Macaca mulatta: one gene and its partner. The main gene of each other region encodes a partner of the protein of the gene in region 2 in a complex. Links are inferred from orthologs where the notes say so. Each region holds a gene or a part of one and is shown on either strand. Other genes may lie near its edges. The genes, in order: IL22 and IL22RA2.

Region 1 (8,191 bases), on a different chromosome or scaffold from region 2:
AAATCAACCATGTGTATGGTCTGTCTGGGACCTGGGAGGTGGGCATTGGGGTTGCTCTTCATCTGCAGTGGCTTTGGGAGAGACTTGAAAATTCACAAGGAAATGACTGCAGAAAAGGCCCATTATAATCTGAAAATATTTAGCATACATATGTCTTTGGTTGTTGTTTTCACAGGAGCACCTTTTTGTTATATCCACAATCTCTTCTTTTTTTTTTTTTTTTTTTTTTTGAGACAGAATCTTGCTTCGTTACCCAGATTATAGCGCAGTGGGGCGATCTTGTCTCACTGCAACCTCAGTCTCCCGGGTTCAAGCGATTCTCCCACCTCAACCTCCAGAGTAGCTGGGACTACAGGCGCACCAACATGCCCGGCTAATTTTTGTATTTTCAGTAGAAACAGGGTTTCACCATGTTGACCAGACTGGTCTCAAACTCCTGACCTCAGGAGATCTGCCCGCCTCAGCCTCCCAAAGTGCTGGGATTACAGGCAGGAGCCCCGCGCCCAGCCTCACAATCTCTTCTAACAGCAAATATTTCTGAGACTCCTAGTATGACTGTTCAGAAACCCCCATACAACACCAGAGCAGATTTTCCCTTTAGTGAGTTTTAGTTAAACTCACTGAAACTTAAGATCTAGGCTCCATTAACACTATCTTATTGATGCTTGGTCCATCAGGGACATACAATGAATAAGAGGCACGCTGCTGCTCTTAAAGATGGCTTTGCAATTTTCTGGCATTCTCTTTCTGTTTCACAGTGATTTATTTTCCATTCAGGAACAATAAGCTGGTAAGCAGGACTGGGTCAAACACCAACTTTAGAAATATCATGAAGGCAGTCAATATGCTTATATTGAGTCCTTCCTATGTGTGTAGCACTGTTCTAAGTGTTGGAGTTACAAAGACGAAAGACACAGAGACTCTTCCCTTGAAATCACGTAATTCAACAATGTCAAAACTTATTTTCCCATGGAAACAAAATTATGTATGCTGGTCAGTTTCCCAGGCAAACCAACAAAAGCCTATTTAATCCATGAATAGCTTAAATCTAATGCTAATAGAATTGTACAGAGTTCTGGGCAAAAGTGGCCCTATATAATAGGAAATTGAATAAGGAAGGTTTCATCATCTTTTCTCGGGCTCATGGTCAACCCAAGGAAACATTTGGAACATACCTATTTTTTTTTCAATTTAACAAAAGTTATCTCATTTTTATTTGACAAATAAGAATTGTATATACAGTATTTATGTTACACAATATGATGTTTTAAAAATTACTTATTTTTTAAATTGACATTATCATTGTACATATTTATGGAGTATATTTTGATATTTTGATATAAGTGTATGCTGTATAATGACACAATTAGGTTAGTATATCCATCACCTCATGCATTTATCATTACTTTGTGGTGAGAATCTTCAAAAGCTATTTTGAAAAATACGATATTTTCCTGTTAAATATAGTCATTCTACTGTGTAATAGAACACCGAAATTATTCCTCCTAATTGTGTCTTTGTACCCGTTGACCAACCTCTCCCCATCCCGCTTTCCCCACTTACTTCCCCAGTCTCTGGTAACCACTGTTATATTCTCTGCTTCTATATCAGCTTTTTTTTTTTTTTTTAGATTCCACATATGAGTGAGATAATGCAGTATTTGTTTTTCTGCATCTGATTTATTTCACTTAACATGATGTCCTTCAGGTTCATCCATGTTATTGCAAATGACAGGATTTCATTTCTTTTATGGCTTAATACTATTCCATTGTGTATATATACCACATTTTCTTTATCCATTCATCCATCTGTGGATACTTAGGTTGATTTCATGTATGTTTTGATATATGCATATATTGTGGAATGGCTAAAGTGAGCGAATTAACATATATGCATTACCTCACACGGAATTTTTTTTTTTTTTTTGGTAATGAGAACATTTACAATCTATGCTCTTTGTGATTTTTAAGCATAACATATATTGTTCTTAACTATTGTTGCCACGATGGACAATAGAGCTCTTCAACTTATTCCTCTTCTTTAACTGAAATGTTGTATCCTTTGGGTAACATCTCCCCAACTCGCTGCCCCTTGCCCACCCAGCCCCTGGCAACCACCATTCTACTCTTTCTTTCTATGAGTTCAAGTGTTTTAGATTCCACATGCAAGTGTGATCATGTGGTGTTATTTACTCCCACTAATCTTCCTTTTTGCTTCTTTCTCCTCTGGCCACCTTCACAAATGCTCAGTGTCCTCAGGTGGTTCCAACTCTTCCCAGTGGCACTTTGCTGAGGTCTGTGCCATCTCAAAAAGTGGTCTAGGTTTTACAATTATTTACGTCCCTTCTCCCAGTTCTTCAACACTCCTGATCTTAACTAGTTGTGAGGAGAAAAATCTGATCATACAAATTTGCACTAATTCACATTCCTTCCCTCAGCAATAGGTACTTGCATTTTGATAGTTGCACTTGCTTCCTTCTCTTGCTCTGCGGGAGAATTTCCAGTCTAGTTTTAGGTGTATTTTTAAATAATTTAAAGGTAATGTGGAACCTCTATATTCCTATATTCCCTTCCTCAGACATCCATGTATGTGTGCATATATATGTGTGTGTATATATAGTATATATATACATATATATTGTGTATATACACACATATATGTGTATATGCAATATATACACATACAATATATACATATATACACACATATATAATTGTTATAAGGTTATTTGGAAATATTATGTTGAGACCTGTGTGAAGTTTAGAATTAGGTAAAATTTTAACTATATCCATGGTATTCTTTTCTTTTAAACAAAGTTTACATGTTAAGAAAAATGGTGATCAGATTGTTCAGCATTAGCATTTACAAACTTAAGTGGACATTGATTATAATTCAATTAATACAATTTTAAGATACACTTGCTTCTGCCTTGTTAGGATCACTTAAAAATAGTCCCAGAAAGGGAAGAAAACAATAAGTAGATTAGCCAAGACTGTTATTTTTGAAACAGAAGTCTGGTTTAGAATTCAGCATTTTAAAAAGGAGATAAAATTATTTTAATAATGGAATGATCTGTAAGCTGTCATTACCATTTACTTTAAAGCAGAGGATATAGGACACGGGTCCTTTTCTTCTGATCACCTCCAATGAGATAAGAATCTATAAAGCGGGTAGGAAAATGAGTCCGTGACCAAAATGCTTACTCAGCCACTATAGGAGATCAAAAAATTTTATACTAAATCTGAACTCTACTAAGACAAAACAATTGTTTTCTTTGAAAAATATGTAGGGTTTAGAAAATTTCTGGGATTTGTCTGTAAAATACCCCCTGGGCTCTAATAGTGACGTTTTAGGGAAACACTTACATCTCAAGGTGGGAAGAATAGAGGTGGTGTTTTGTGGGCTCCTGTGGTGGTTAGGTCGTTCTCAGAAGACAGTACTGGAAATTAGATAATTGCTGATGTCACATTTTGCACAATTAAAAAAAAGTCGGTATCCTGGGGGCTATAAAAGCAGCCGCTTCTACCTTCCCCATCACAAGCAGAATCTTCAGAACAGGTAAGCGTTTCGGCAAACTTGGTACAATTGGTTAGTTTGATGAAATACTTCTTGACTAATTCTGTTCCTTCACGTTGTTTTCGACCAGGTTCTCCGTCCCCAGTCACCAATTGCTCGAGTAAGAGTTGTCTGCAATGGCCGCCCTGCAGAAATCTGTGAGCCCTTTCCTTATGGGGACTCTGGCCACCAGCTGCCTCCTTCTCTTGGCCCTCTGGGTGCAGGGAGGAGCAGCTGCACCCGTCAGCTCCCACTGCAGGCTTGACAAGTCCAACTTCCAGCAGCCCTATATCACCAACCGCACCTTCATGCTGGCTAAGGAGGTATGCATCTCAATGCTGCGCTTTCTCATTGGATCTACTTGGAACCCAAATAGTTCTTGCACTTTTCTTCAGAGCACCTCTAAGAGCTTTAGGAACCCATTGTTTATCCCTGCTGGCAGATAAATTTTCTGTTTTTTCAGAGACTCTTTGGGAATCTGGCCGTTTTTTTTTTGACTTGAACTCCTTCCTTCCATTTTGGTCTTTATGATACATGTGATGAATTTTCCCATTCATGTTTTAAACTCGGCCATTCAGTAACCCATCTGATGATTTTTTTTTTCCTTTATGCCTTTGTGTGTTGTCCTAAACTTATGCACACATCTGAATTCTGTTTCTAGTCTTTATGGGGTTGCTCTGGGGAGAGGGGATGGGGCACATGTCTACGTACAGATTTTTTTTCTATCTGCTCAATGTCCAGGCACTTACTCTTTTCTTCTCTTCCAGGCTAGCTCGGCTGATAACAACACAGACGTTCGTCTCATTGGGGAAAAACTGTTCCGCGGAGTCAGTGTAAGCTACAGTTGTGACGAACAGGGCCGTGTGCCGTCCATGGGTACTTGGATTGGTGGTAATGATGATTTAGGACTTATCCCTTATGACCCTTGCTGTTTCCCTTCCACCTGTAGATGAGTGAGCGCTGCTATCTGATGAAGCAGGTGCTGAACTTCACCCTTGAAGAAGTGCTGCTCCCTCAATCGGATAGGTTCCAGCCTTATATGCAGGAGGTGGTGCCCTTCCTGGCCAGGCTCAGCAACAGTCTAAGCACATGTGTAAGTTCAGCTCTCAGCCTATGCCCATCTACCCCTCCTTCCCTCCTTCTTCCACAGAGACCCCCTTACCCCGATTCTCTCTTCTCCCCTCTACCCCTAAGCTAGCAGGAAGAAGCGTCTTGGCAGCAGTATTATCAGGAGTCATTTAGGATCACAGAGTGTTTGTTTTTGCTTTTGATTGAGTCACATCTTGAGTTTATAGTGGTGAAGGGGGTCTGGAACTTAAGTGTATAGAAGCCGCATTGGTTTGTCTCTGGAAAAAAGGCAACTCAGTTTGTGTAAGGTGAGAAAGGTGTTGGGAAAAACATCTAGATGTGGAAATGGATCCACTGAGTCTAAGTTGTTGAGGGGAGGGGATGGCATGGAGAGAAAGTAGAAGACAAAGTGGGAAATGGGAAGGCTTAGTGTCAGCGGTGTGTCGGCAGACTGTTGCCCTGCTGATGTCATGGGAAGTGACAAAATCGGAGGCGTGTGAACTTGATGCCGCTGAACATATGAAACTACAAAAAAAAGTTTGAGTGTAGTGGGCCCAGTCAAAGGCCCTAGGACTTACTGAAGAGGGCTTAATTTTCACATGAGATGTTTTATGTACATTTCTTGTTCTGAGCATGCTGTTTTGTGGAGGTATGATTGAGGTTTTATTCCTTACAGAATTTGCATAAACCACTCCGCTGTTTCCACAAACGCAAACCTCAGTAGGATTTCCCAAAGATGAAGAGAGGTCTCTTGTAAGGGAAGTGACTGGAGTCTGGTGTCCAAGGGAATTCAAGAGCTCAGGAAATCTAGGTCACCGTTGAAATCTAGGTCATTGTGGGCAAAATTACTAAGAGTTTTAATTCCAGGTGAATTGTACCGTACCTCCACGGGTGTGGAGGTTCGTGAAGTTTCAGCACAACATTAAGATAGTTATTCTTGTTTTTGTTTTATAGCACATTGAAGGTGATGACCTGCATATCCAGAAGAATGTCCAAAAGCTGAAGGACACAGTGAAAAAGGTAGGACTGATAACTGTCAATGCTAAGTCATGCAATAGGAGAGACAAATGCTGTTTTTCTTTCCTTTCTTTCTTCCCACCACTTTGTGATTTTTCACTTGATTCTCCTACCACCAGGGTGATTACTTTGGTGTCTGTGTCTGCAGAGATATCTCTATATCTAGAAGTCAGTTTCCAAATTTTGCAAATTGTAGAATTCTAGAACCGGCTGGAATCTTAGGTTGTCCAGTCACATTACCTCACCTTCTGGGGAAGGCAAGTGGCAGAGACAGGGCTGAATACAGGTCTCCCGAATCCCAAGCTAACACTTTTCCCGGCAGTGATACAGATTAGTTTCATTAATTCTTAGGGAAATTTCAGATTCCTATTGACTCATGTAATCTGAAGAAGCACTTGTTTAAAAACAGAAAAGTGCCTATGGGCAAATTTATTTGAAGTCATTTTTGAAGGCATTCATGCATTGCTTTGAAACTTGGAGGAATAAACTCAGAACAACAATAAAAGAGCTGGACTTGCATATAGGGCTAATTTCTGGAGTAATCGATGCTTATTTTTAATTATCATAATATCTAACAACTATTGATTTTAGTTTAAAATCAAGAGCAGATAACACCTGATCTCTTTTATACAAGTTCAAATAGACTAAAAATGTTAGTAAGAGATTTATTATAGTTAAATGGAAGTCTGAATTGGTAAGCCTTTTTTTCTTCCTCTCTCCCTTCAAGACCTTCCATTCTAGTTTCTTCCTTCATTCCCTCAATAAACCCCTAGTGAGCATTTATCCACGGTGGGCTGGTGTACATTTCTATAGTGAATGATACCATCATGTGCCCTATTTGGTGAAAAGAACAACAATGGAAGACTTAGACTAACAATAGTGACTCACCCCAAAACCAGAGGAATGATTAGGAGCAGTGAAAGTGATGTTCTTACAAGCAGGTCCAAGTAAATACTCAGAAACATGAAGGCTCCAGTTGATGGAATTTTCAGTAAGAAGCTTAACCTTAATTCCCCCTTTTTTCCTCTTGACTTTTTAAAAAAGCATTTCTTCCTGAGCATCATTTAATGAACATGACTGTTTCTTCCTTTGATAATTGAAGGCTTTGTAGTTTTATATTGTGAAGCTCAGTTCTCTTGTTATGGAACTATTATCTAGACATGGAGGGCTGAATGTTAGCATGTCACAGACAAGACGTGCTTTACACATCTTGCTTAAAAAATTCCTGATTTCAGCTTGCTTGTTGTCTTTAGAAAAGTGAAGTGTGAGAGAGGAAAATCTCATGGTGATCTGGGTGATTTTCAAGGCCTTTAATCCATTTTGAAAGAATCAATTTCCTATTTTCAATGATTTGCCACATGGAAGAGTGATTATGCTTTTTTGCTGGTACCTTCAGAAAGTACAGGCGGGAGAGGAATGTTGTTCAGAGAAAGATCAACAGGAGGAGAAACTGCCAGAGCTGTCTGAAATAGGGTGGTCTCGGGAGGCATTAATTCCCTCTCGCTGGGGGTAAAAGCAGAGCACAGGCTGGTAGTAAAATGCATGACAGACAGTAGGGGAAGATAAACTTTAAAATTCTTTACAGTCTTGGAGTCTTTGAGATAGAAAAGCATATCTTTTTGGCTTTATGTCAAAAGAAGTATGGAAAGGTGAAAGGGCGGAAGAAAGCAGGAAAAGAAAGAACAATGTACTGTATAGAGGATAATGGTGACAAGGTTTTTCTTGAAATAATGCAAATATGATAGATTAGAGGAATTTCAATAGGGAATGCTTTTCACTTGAATTTGGGTTTCCTCTTCCATTAAGTTTGGGAGCCTCATCTGCATTTGACTTGGAGGGAGAAAGAATGAATGTTAGGACCTGTATCTGGTTTTCTATTAACTAAAGCAAGTGGAAAAGACTTATTTGACATTTTTCCCACAAAAGTGAAAACTTGTCTTTTACTCTTTGTCAAAATGGTGGAAACAGAAAAAAACTCAATGTATTGGTAAATATATGGTTTGAAGTCTTCCGAGCTGAGATGTTTTAAATCAGGAGTGTCCAATCATTTGGCTTCCCTGGGCCACCTTGAAAGAATTGTCTTGGGACACACATAAAATCCACTAACACTAACAATAGCTGATGAGCTAAAAAAAAAAAAAAAAAAAAAAAAAAAAAAAAAAAAAAAAGGTCCATGCATAAATCTCATAATGTTTTTAGAAAGTTTATGAATTTGTGCTACGGTGCATTCAAAGCTGTCCTCGGCCACGTGCAGCCCGTGGGTTGTGGGTTGGACAAGCTCTTTATAAGCCATCTGTCATAGATAGTTTTGGAGTTGCAAAACAGGCCAAGGCATAATGGGTGGCACTCAGGATCCCCCAGACCCCAGCCTCACTTCAGTCTGCTTGCTCTGGTTAAGAAGGGGTGGTCAACCCTCTGCCCAGCTTTTAAACAGCTTCATTAGTGTGAGGTGCACCTGAAATTGATGCCTGCTGGTGGCCTCTCAGTCCAGAGAGCTGTCATTTTAAGCTCTTTGGCAAATCATACAATACTCTTGCTAAAGGGGTATTAC
Region 2 (7,613 bases):
CAATCTATTTCCCCAGTGTCCTATAGTTGCTCTATGGACTCTTGAACAAAATAGTTACATGATGGAGGATATATATAGACTTAACAATATGGATCTCCTCTTACCAAATTTGGTCTGACCTTCAGAGTATCACTGCAGAGTGATCTTCCTTTCCAGGAAGGAAGATCAATGTTGAACCCCTAGTATAGTGCTATATTCCAGGGGCTCTCATCTTCCATCTCGTTGCAGGTAGGTTTTTTTTTGTTCCCTTCCAAAACGGAGGGGGCAAGAGACACTGGTTATAGTTTTTCTTTACTGCTGGGTATAGATTCTGGTTACAGATTCTGTTTATAGATTTTTATTTACTGCTTCAATGCTTTTATCAGCAGACCCCTCATCACTCCTGGGACCACACATACACCCATAGATGTAGTCAATGCCTTATTCATGAGCATAGTACTCCACAATATATTGCTTATGACAAAGAACTTAAGTTAATGTGAAAAGAGTGAAGTAAGGTCTCAAGACCCACAGGACAAATATATATCATATATTTGTCACTCAGAAATCCATGACTTTATAGGAAGGTGAAATGGATAATTGAAAACTCAGTTTGAGAGATGTCTTGTGAATTGGCATATGAATTGGTAAACGCTCCAATTGGTAAATGCTTCACTAAGCCTGGGGCCAATATATGGTGCTATTTCTTCCATAGACAGAATTCACTGGTCTAGGATACAAGAAGTGGAAGTGAGAGGGGCAACTCTGACTGTTATCCATAGAGAACAACTCATGACATGATGACATGTTTTTGTTTCCCATATGCTTGGCCTTGAATTCTTCTGGTTTATAACAAAAATGGTTTCCAAAAATTGGAAGTTGAGGCTCTCTCCTGACCATTTGGAGCTCCTTGTGCCATTTAGCTAACAAAAAGAAAATGAGGTTCTTATATTGTCTGGGGTGATTCATTCTGATTTTCAAGGCATAATACAGTAATAAATACATTGGGGTCAGGTGGAAGAATTCTTGGTAGCCTCAAGTGTGCCTCTTAGACCTTCTCTATTCAGCAATAAAAAATAATGTAAGGTTAGGTCAAGCTGAGATAGGAAACACCAAAAGGACTGAAACTCCTCATGGATAAAAAGCTGAAGTGCTGGCTGAAAAGAAGATGAATGTTGAGTTTATAATGAGGGAAGAAGTCATAAATATTAACTACAGCTTCATGATTAGTTGCAATTATGAGGACTGTGGTAAATATCTTTATTTTCTTTCTTGTTCTATTTATGCACATCTTTATATCTATACATTAAACCCCTTCTCTCTCTCTCTTTCTTTTCCCTACTATTTTAGCCAATGTCTGTTGGTAATGGTTCATTTTATCACCTATATCTTAGATTATATTATTCTATGATTGTGACTAAACTAAAAGAGGAATAAATATCATTCAGGATGGATACTGAGAAAGCACTTTTGGTCTGCCTTTTTGGGGAGGTGAGACTAAAAGTCTAATTTCCTTAACAGAAAATTCTTCTATTTTCATGAACTTAACCCTCATGTTTGGGGAAGGACTAGGGCACTATGACAAATTCTGCTGTCTAAAAATACTTTTTGGAGGGCTGGGCATGGTGAGTCACACCCATAATCCCAGCACTTTGGGAGGCCAAGGGGGGCAGATCACCTAAGGTCAGGAGTTTGAGACCAGCTTGGCCAACATGGTGAAACCTCGTCTCTACTAAAAATACAAAAATTAGCCAGGGATAGTGGCACACGCTTGTAATCCTAGCTACTTGGGAAACTGAGGTTGGAGAATCGCTTGAACCCGGGAGGCAGAGGTTGCAGTGACCCAAGATCGTGCCACTGTACTCCAGCCTGGGTGACAAAGCAAGACCCTGTCTCTCTCTCTCTCACACACACACACACACACACACACACACACACACACACACACACAGGCTCTTCAGTCAGATGCAGTAAATGTGAACCCTGACTTGTATAATACAGGTCATGAGACTGGACCAATGACTAAAGCCTCTACATCTTGATGTTCTGGGCTAGAAAATTAGGATAATAAAAGCTATCTCCTAGAGTTGTTCTGATAATTAGACCAAATGAGATAACTATGTAGAGCCTTCAGCAAAGCACAAGGCCTGGTCACTAGCCGTGCTCTGGGAGGGCTGTCCAAAAGCAGGAAGAACAAGGGCAAAGAAACTCCATGGAACTCACTTTCCCACCAGGGAGTGAACCGCGGCGTCATGCTCCAGTCTGAGTAGCTCCCAGCCGAGGCCGCCCTCACCCTCCCGTAATAAGGCTCCTGTATGTCTGAGGTTTCACTGGTAAGGTCACAAAAGAGTTCTTGAGTACCCCAACAGTCTTCTTTATTTTTCCATTGTCTCTGTCCATATCTGTAGCGGGGAAAAGGCAAAGATCTGAGTTTCTTTTCTCCACTCAAGGAGTCTTCAATATTTTCAGACTGATAATTCTTTATACCTGATTCTAGTATCAATATCACCATGATAGCTTATGGCTACTTTTCAGAAGCTTTAAAAAAATTCCTTCTTATTAACTGTCTAAGTCCATTTTCTGTTGCTGTAACTGAATACCCGAGACTGGGTAATTTATAAAGAAAAGGAATTTACTTCTTACAGTTTTGGAGGCTAGGAAGTCTAATGTCTAAGAGCCACATCTGGTGAGGGCCTTCTTGCTGGTGGGGACTCTCTGCAGAGATTTAAGGTGGCAGAGGATGTCATAGGCATTCAAGAGACATGGCTTTTACATATATATATAAAAAACAGACCAACTTTTCTTATAACTAGCCCACTTCCTCAATAACACTTTAATTCGTTAATCCATCAATGGATGAATCCATTCATGGGGGCAGAATCCTCATGACCCAATCATCTCCCCAAAGTCCCACCTCTCAACATTGCTGCATTAGGATCAAGTTTCCAACACATGAGCTTTTGGGGGACACATAGAAGCCACAGCATTACCTGAAGTGCTGTCTTGCTGGAAGATAAACATCCCTGACACTTTCTGTATCACTAACATAAGGGTTTTAACTTATTTTTTAATAGTTGGCATAATGTTCTTTCAGGTGTGAGGACTGACTTCCATTTTTGAATACTCACTCTCCACATCCTTAATGCTCTGTGGTTTTGAGTGTTTGTGGTTTTTCATCACTTCTCATCAGCTCGCTATTGAGTAATGTGGCTGCTTCTGAGAAGTTGCTACCACTTTTCATCTCAGGTGCTGCTTACCCAACATACATGATTAATCTCTTTATTGAAAATTGACGGGAAGTTTTAGTGAGGACTATATATGGAGCCCTGTAATTAGAGGTTGGGAGAGGGGGAGTGAAACCCATGAAAAAAGGTAGTGAGGCAAGAGGCAGAGAGGTTGACTCAGCCTGAGGCCACAGGATGGTGTAATAGTCAAAGGGAAGATTCACGCTTTGTTTCCTTACCTGCCATAAATCAGACCAATGCAACAAAGTGATGGTGGGGAACAGAGAAGGAATTGGAGTCTGGGGAGAAAAGTTTCCCAAATTATTTATTGAAAGACTTGAAATCTAACTTTCTAGACACATAATAAGGAAGGTTGACAGTATCTGTACTCAGTAATCTACATGGTGATAGCAATTTCATTCTATCACAATTAAAGCAGTACCACAACATGTATTGAGTATACTTTGATGTTTTAAAATTATTATTTATTTATAATAAGTCTTTAACTTAGCTGTAATGACTGACTTCTCTTTTAACATAATATCTCATTGTTTATCCCATTCTAAATGTGAGGGATATAACAGTACTATAGTCCATGAACTGGATACACCAAAGTGAAAGTTTGCAAAATTATAAATTTGTCCTGTGCTGTTGAAAATCCCTTAGAGACAGGAATGGATTCAGGTATTCTGGGGTCTGAAATTTATATAATCTTTTTAATCCATTTAGTGTTTCTATAACAGAACACGTGAGGCTAGCTAATTGATAAGGAAAAGAGGTTTATTTAGCCCATGTTCTGCAGCCTGGGAAGTTACAAGAAGTGTGCTGCCAGCATCCACTTGGCTTCTGGTGAGAGCTTTTCATGTTGCATAAGAACATGCTGGAGAAGGTCCATGGGGAAAACAGATCGCGTGAAGAGACCAAACTCAAGGGGCATCCTGGCTTTACAACGACCACTCTGATAGAAACATTTCCATGACAAATTCAGTCTGGCAAGAGTGAGAACTCACTCAACTGCAGCAATGATGGTACCAAGCCATTCATGAGCACTCCATCCCCATGATCCAAACACCTCCTCGGAGGCCCCACTTCCAACATCACCACACTAGGGATCAAATTTCAACATGAATTTTGGTGGAGACAAACTCAAACCATAGCAGCTTGGGAGTCCTCTTTAAGGAAAGATTTATAAATATAAAATCCTTGCATGAGGTCCTGAAGTTTAATCTTCATTAGATGCATGGTAAAACAGTTTCTAATCTTCTTAGTACTTTGGTCTACAAATAGGTTCACTTTTGACCTATTTATACTGCTCAAGGAGAAGTATAAAAATAGTACCAATCTTTACTTCCTACATGCTGAAAGTATCTCCAGCTATGCACAAATCTACTTTTGTAATGAAGAAACGATCATTGTAAAGATTTGCAAATTTTACAATTGTTACATAAGATATGTAGAGAGAAGTAGTAGTGGTTAAAGATGGAGATGCTTCTGGGGATATTCATTCTGAAATTAATTAGAGGGAAAATCTGACCTAGGACCTACCCCATGCTGGAGAGACATGGATGAATTTATGGGATAAAAATTGCTATTTTGGCCATAGCTGCATTTGATTTTCTGAATTTCTAGTGAAAAACCATGAAAGTTAAACTGTAATATCTCCTGTCTCACTGTCAGGAGACAGGATTGAGCCTCAACTCCCCTTGCCCCCCAAAAATATATGAGTGGAAAAACCTGACATTTTCAAATCAGGAGTGTTTGTTTCCAAGCCTTGAGCCAGGAAAGGTGTAGATTATATCTGAGTTTTGGCAATGATCCAGTAGGAGTAGCCTGAGTATCACACGAGAGGAACATGCAGCAGCGTGTTCCAGTTTGTGTTCATGCTTACGAGACTCATTAGTTTTTGAACAGAATTTTCTAAATAGTAAATCCACTCTGAAAGTGACTTTTAGATTAAAAACTTATTTTACACATCACCTCCATGTTTGCCACAACTTCTTTTTCAACTATCAATAGTTTCATTCACTGAGTATTTGTTATGTGCTAAATAAGTTGCTTCCAACATTCGCTTGACAAACTTGTATTGAGAATCCACCATGTGCCAGGCTCCACTATGGAGGTGAAGGCTGAGCCTGTGAGGTCTTGGTGCAGGTCTAGGGCTGAAGTATCTGCCCAATGCACTGCATACCATCATGCATTTTGAGTCCCCAGGCAGCCTTCAGGGGAGACAAGTCACTGCTATCCTGACCTTGGCTTCTTCTCAACCCCTCTGAAATGGAGAAAAAGCTCAGATCCTAACACTCCATTGCATTCTAGAACATGTTATCCCAGTGCCATCTCTGTCAGCTGAAGGAGGCTCAATTTACTTACATTTTGTACTGCACAAAATAGACACTGCTGTTGCCAGTAAGTGCCCTCCCAGGCTGCCATTGCAAAATGTTGTGAAAATTTCGGGACTGAAATTGTACCCTCTGAGGCTTCAGAGACTCATGTGCTGGCTGAGTTCCTAAGATAATAAGAGAAGGAAGAACATTGAACGTTGCTAGGAGCACTGTTGTTCCCAGCAGTAGTTTTCAATGGAATACCTGCATCAGGATTCCCTAAAGTAGTTGCTCTATGTGCAGATAGTAGAGGTGGAGCCCAGAAATCAACATTTTGAATCTTCAATGCAATGATTTTGATACACGCTAAAGTCTCAGAATGATGAGTTCCAGATCATAAACATGTACATGCTATCTTCCCACCCTATTTCCCAGGCTGTAGGGGAAGTAAATTGTAGTAAAAAAATATTGCTATTATTTTATCCCCAAATAGCAATGGAATATAATGACTGAGATGAAGGACCCACACTGAGACCAACAACCATCTTCTTAGGAACCACTATATTGGTACTACTCAAGCAAAATTTGCTAGGGACCAATTCTGGCTCCAGGATCTCAGCCCAGAACTCAGTCCCTCCTTTCACAGGTTCTTGCTCAATCGCTGGGTCCTGCTTCCAAGTAGGTCTGCCTTTGCTGTCCCACTCCTGAATGGCTGCATTTACCTGCCTACATCCTGGCTCCAAGTATCCAGGCATAATCCCTCAGATGAAATGGCCATGCTAATGAGGAAAACAGACCAAGACCCTGCTGGGGGGCCAGTGTTTCTGAGACTAATCATGGCAGGGGATGGGATAATTTTGCACTGGCATGACTTGTGCTTTCTTCCTCGAATCATGCAACATAGGTGCTACAACCTCACTTGCCTTTAGTCACATGGAGGCAAGAGAACTTTGGCAAAATTTTGTTTAGGGTTCAAGGTTTCTTATAAGGGATAAGAAGTTGGGCAGAAGGAGGAGGAGTCAGGAAGCATATCTTTTTTTTTCTTTTAGACAGAGTTTCACTCGTCGCCCTGGCTGGAGTGCAGTGGCGCGATCTCAGCTCACTGCAACCTCTGCCCCCCAGATTCAAGTGATTCTCCTGCCTCAGCCTCCCGAGTAGCTGGGATTACAGGTGCCCACTACCACGCCCGGCTAATTTTTTTGTATTTTTAGTAGAGACGGGGTTTCGCCATGATGGGCAGGCTGGTCTTGAACTGCTGACCTCAAGTGATCCGCCCGCCTCGGCCTCCCAAAGTGCTGGGATTACAGGTGTGAGCCACTGCACCCGGCCAGGGAGCATATCTTCTGTTTTCTCCCTGACCTCATCTTCTGTCACCCCGACCCCTGTGTTTGCAGCGTTGACTCCTTCACTTGCTCCACCATGACCCTGATGATTCTGCCTTAGGGCCTCTGCACTGGCCCTTCCCTTTTCCTGGTCTATCTTCCCCTGGATTTCACATGGTTCATTTCTCCACCTCCTTCAAGTCTTTGCTCATTTGTATCACATTATTGAGATGGTTAAAAAAATATTCCCAAGCCCATGGTCTCAGCTCTGAACTTTCAAGATTTGTTATTTTCAAATGAACAAGACTGTTTCCTCAGGCCTTTCTTCTTACCAACCAAATAGTGTGAATACTGTTATTTGCTTTTTAATTTGTTTTCGCTTTTATTGTTTGGACCACCATCAGTGCATCAAATGGTGTTGTGTTCTTGGAAAGAGTCTACAGCCACAATTGATTTTGCTCACAAAAATCACTGCCTGATCAATCATCTTTAGAACATAAAAATTCCAGGAGTTTTCAGGAGATGATAGGCACAATTTCCTGAAGGCCTGCCTAGAATTGATTTGCTAACATGAAGATAGATGGCTTAATGCCCTTTATCTCTCTGTCTATGGATTTCTTCTCTCATTTTTGTAACATCAGTGCTACCACCACCAACAGTAACAACACTGGCCTAGGCACTGAAGGACTTTTATCTGCATTCACTCATTTAATTTACCCAGCTCTTCTATGAGGAAAGTACTGTGCATTATGGTCTTCTTCTTACAG

The links.
Region 1: the proteins of IL22RA2 (region 2) and IL22 are in contact, whole or in part, in a crystal structure (PDB 3G9V), measured with the Homo sapiens proteins. The link is inferred for Macaca mulatta from reciprocal best matches to the Homo sapiens genes IL22RA2 and IL22. Residues at the interface, in NP_443194.1 of Homo sapiens: Lys65, Ile66, Tyr99, Gly100, Gln101, Arg102, Trp104, Gln128, Glu129, Pro130, Tyr132, Met148, Pro150, Arg151, Thr153, Trp155, Trp156, Glu157, Glu200, Pro246, Met247, Leu248, Asp249, Arg250; in NP_065386.1 of Homo sapiens: Phe47, Gln48, Pro50, Thr53, Asn54, Phe57, Met58, Lys61, Ser64, Leu65, Asp67, Asn69, Thr70, Asp71, Val72, Arg73, Leu74, Lys162, Gly165, Glu166, Asp168, Leu169, Met172, Arg175, Asn176.

What each region holds. Positions count from the first base shown.
Region 1 is NC_133416.1:75,369,359-75,377,549, reverse strand, and holds the start of IL22 (interleukin-22 precursor), read left to right. Parts: upstream 1-3,535; 5' UTR 3,536-3,558; intron 3,559-3,646; 5' UTR 3,647-3,692; coding exon 3,693-3,878; intron 3,879-4,322; coding exon 4,323-4,388; intron 4,389-4,504; coding exon 4,505-4,648; intron 4,649-5,577; coding exon 5,578-5,643; intron 5,644-8,191. UniProt on the Homo sapiens protein: Cytokine that plays a critical role in modulating tissue responses during inflammation. Plays an essential role in the regeneration of epithelial cells to maintain barrier function after injury and for the prevention of further tissue damage.
Region 2 is NC_133409.1:42,251,725-42,259,337, forward strand, and holds part of IL22RA2 (interleukin-22 receptor subunit alpha-2), read right to left. Parts: intron 5,710-7,613; coding exon 5,574-5,709; intron 2,382-5,573; coding exon 2,203-2,381; intron 1-2,202. UniProt on the Homo sapiens protein: Isoform 2 is a receptor for IL22. Binds to IL22, prevents interaction with the functional IL-22R complex and blocks the activity of IL22 (in vitro). May play an important role as an IL22 antagonist in the regulation of inflammatory responses.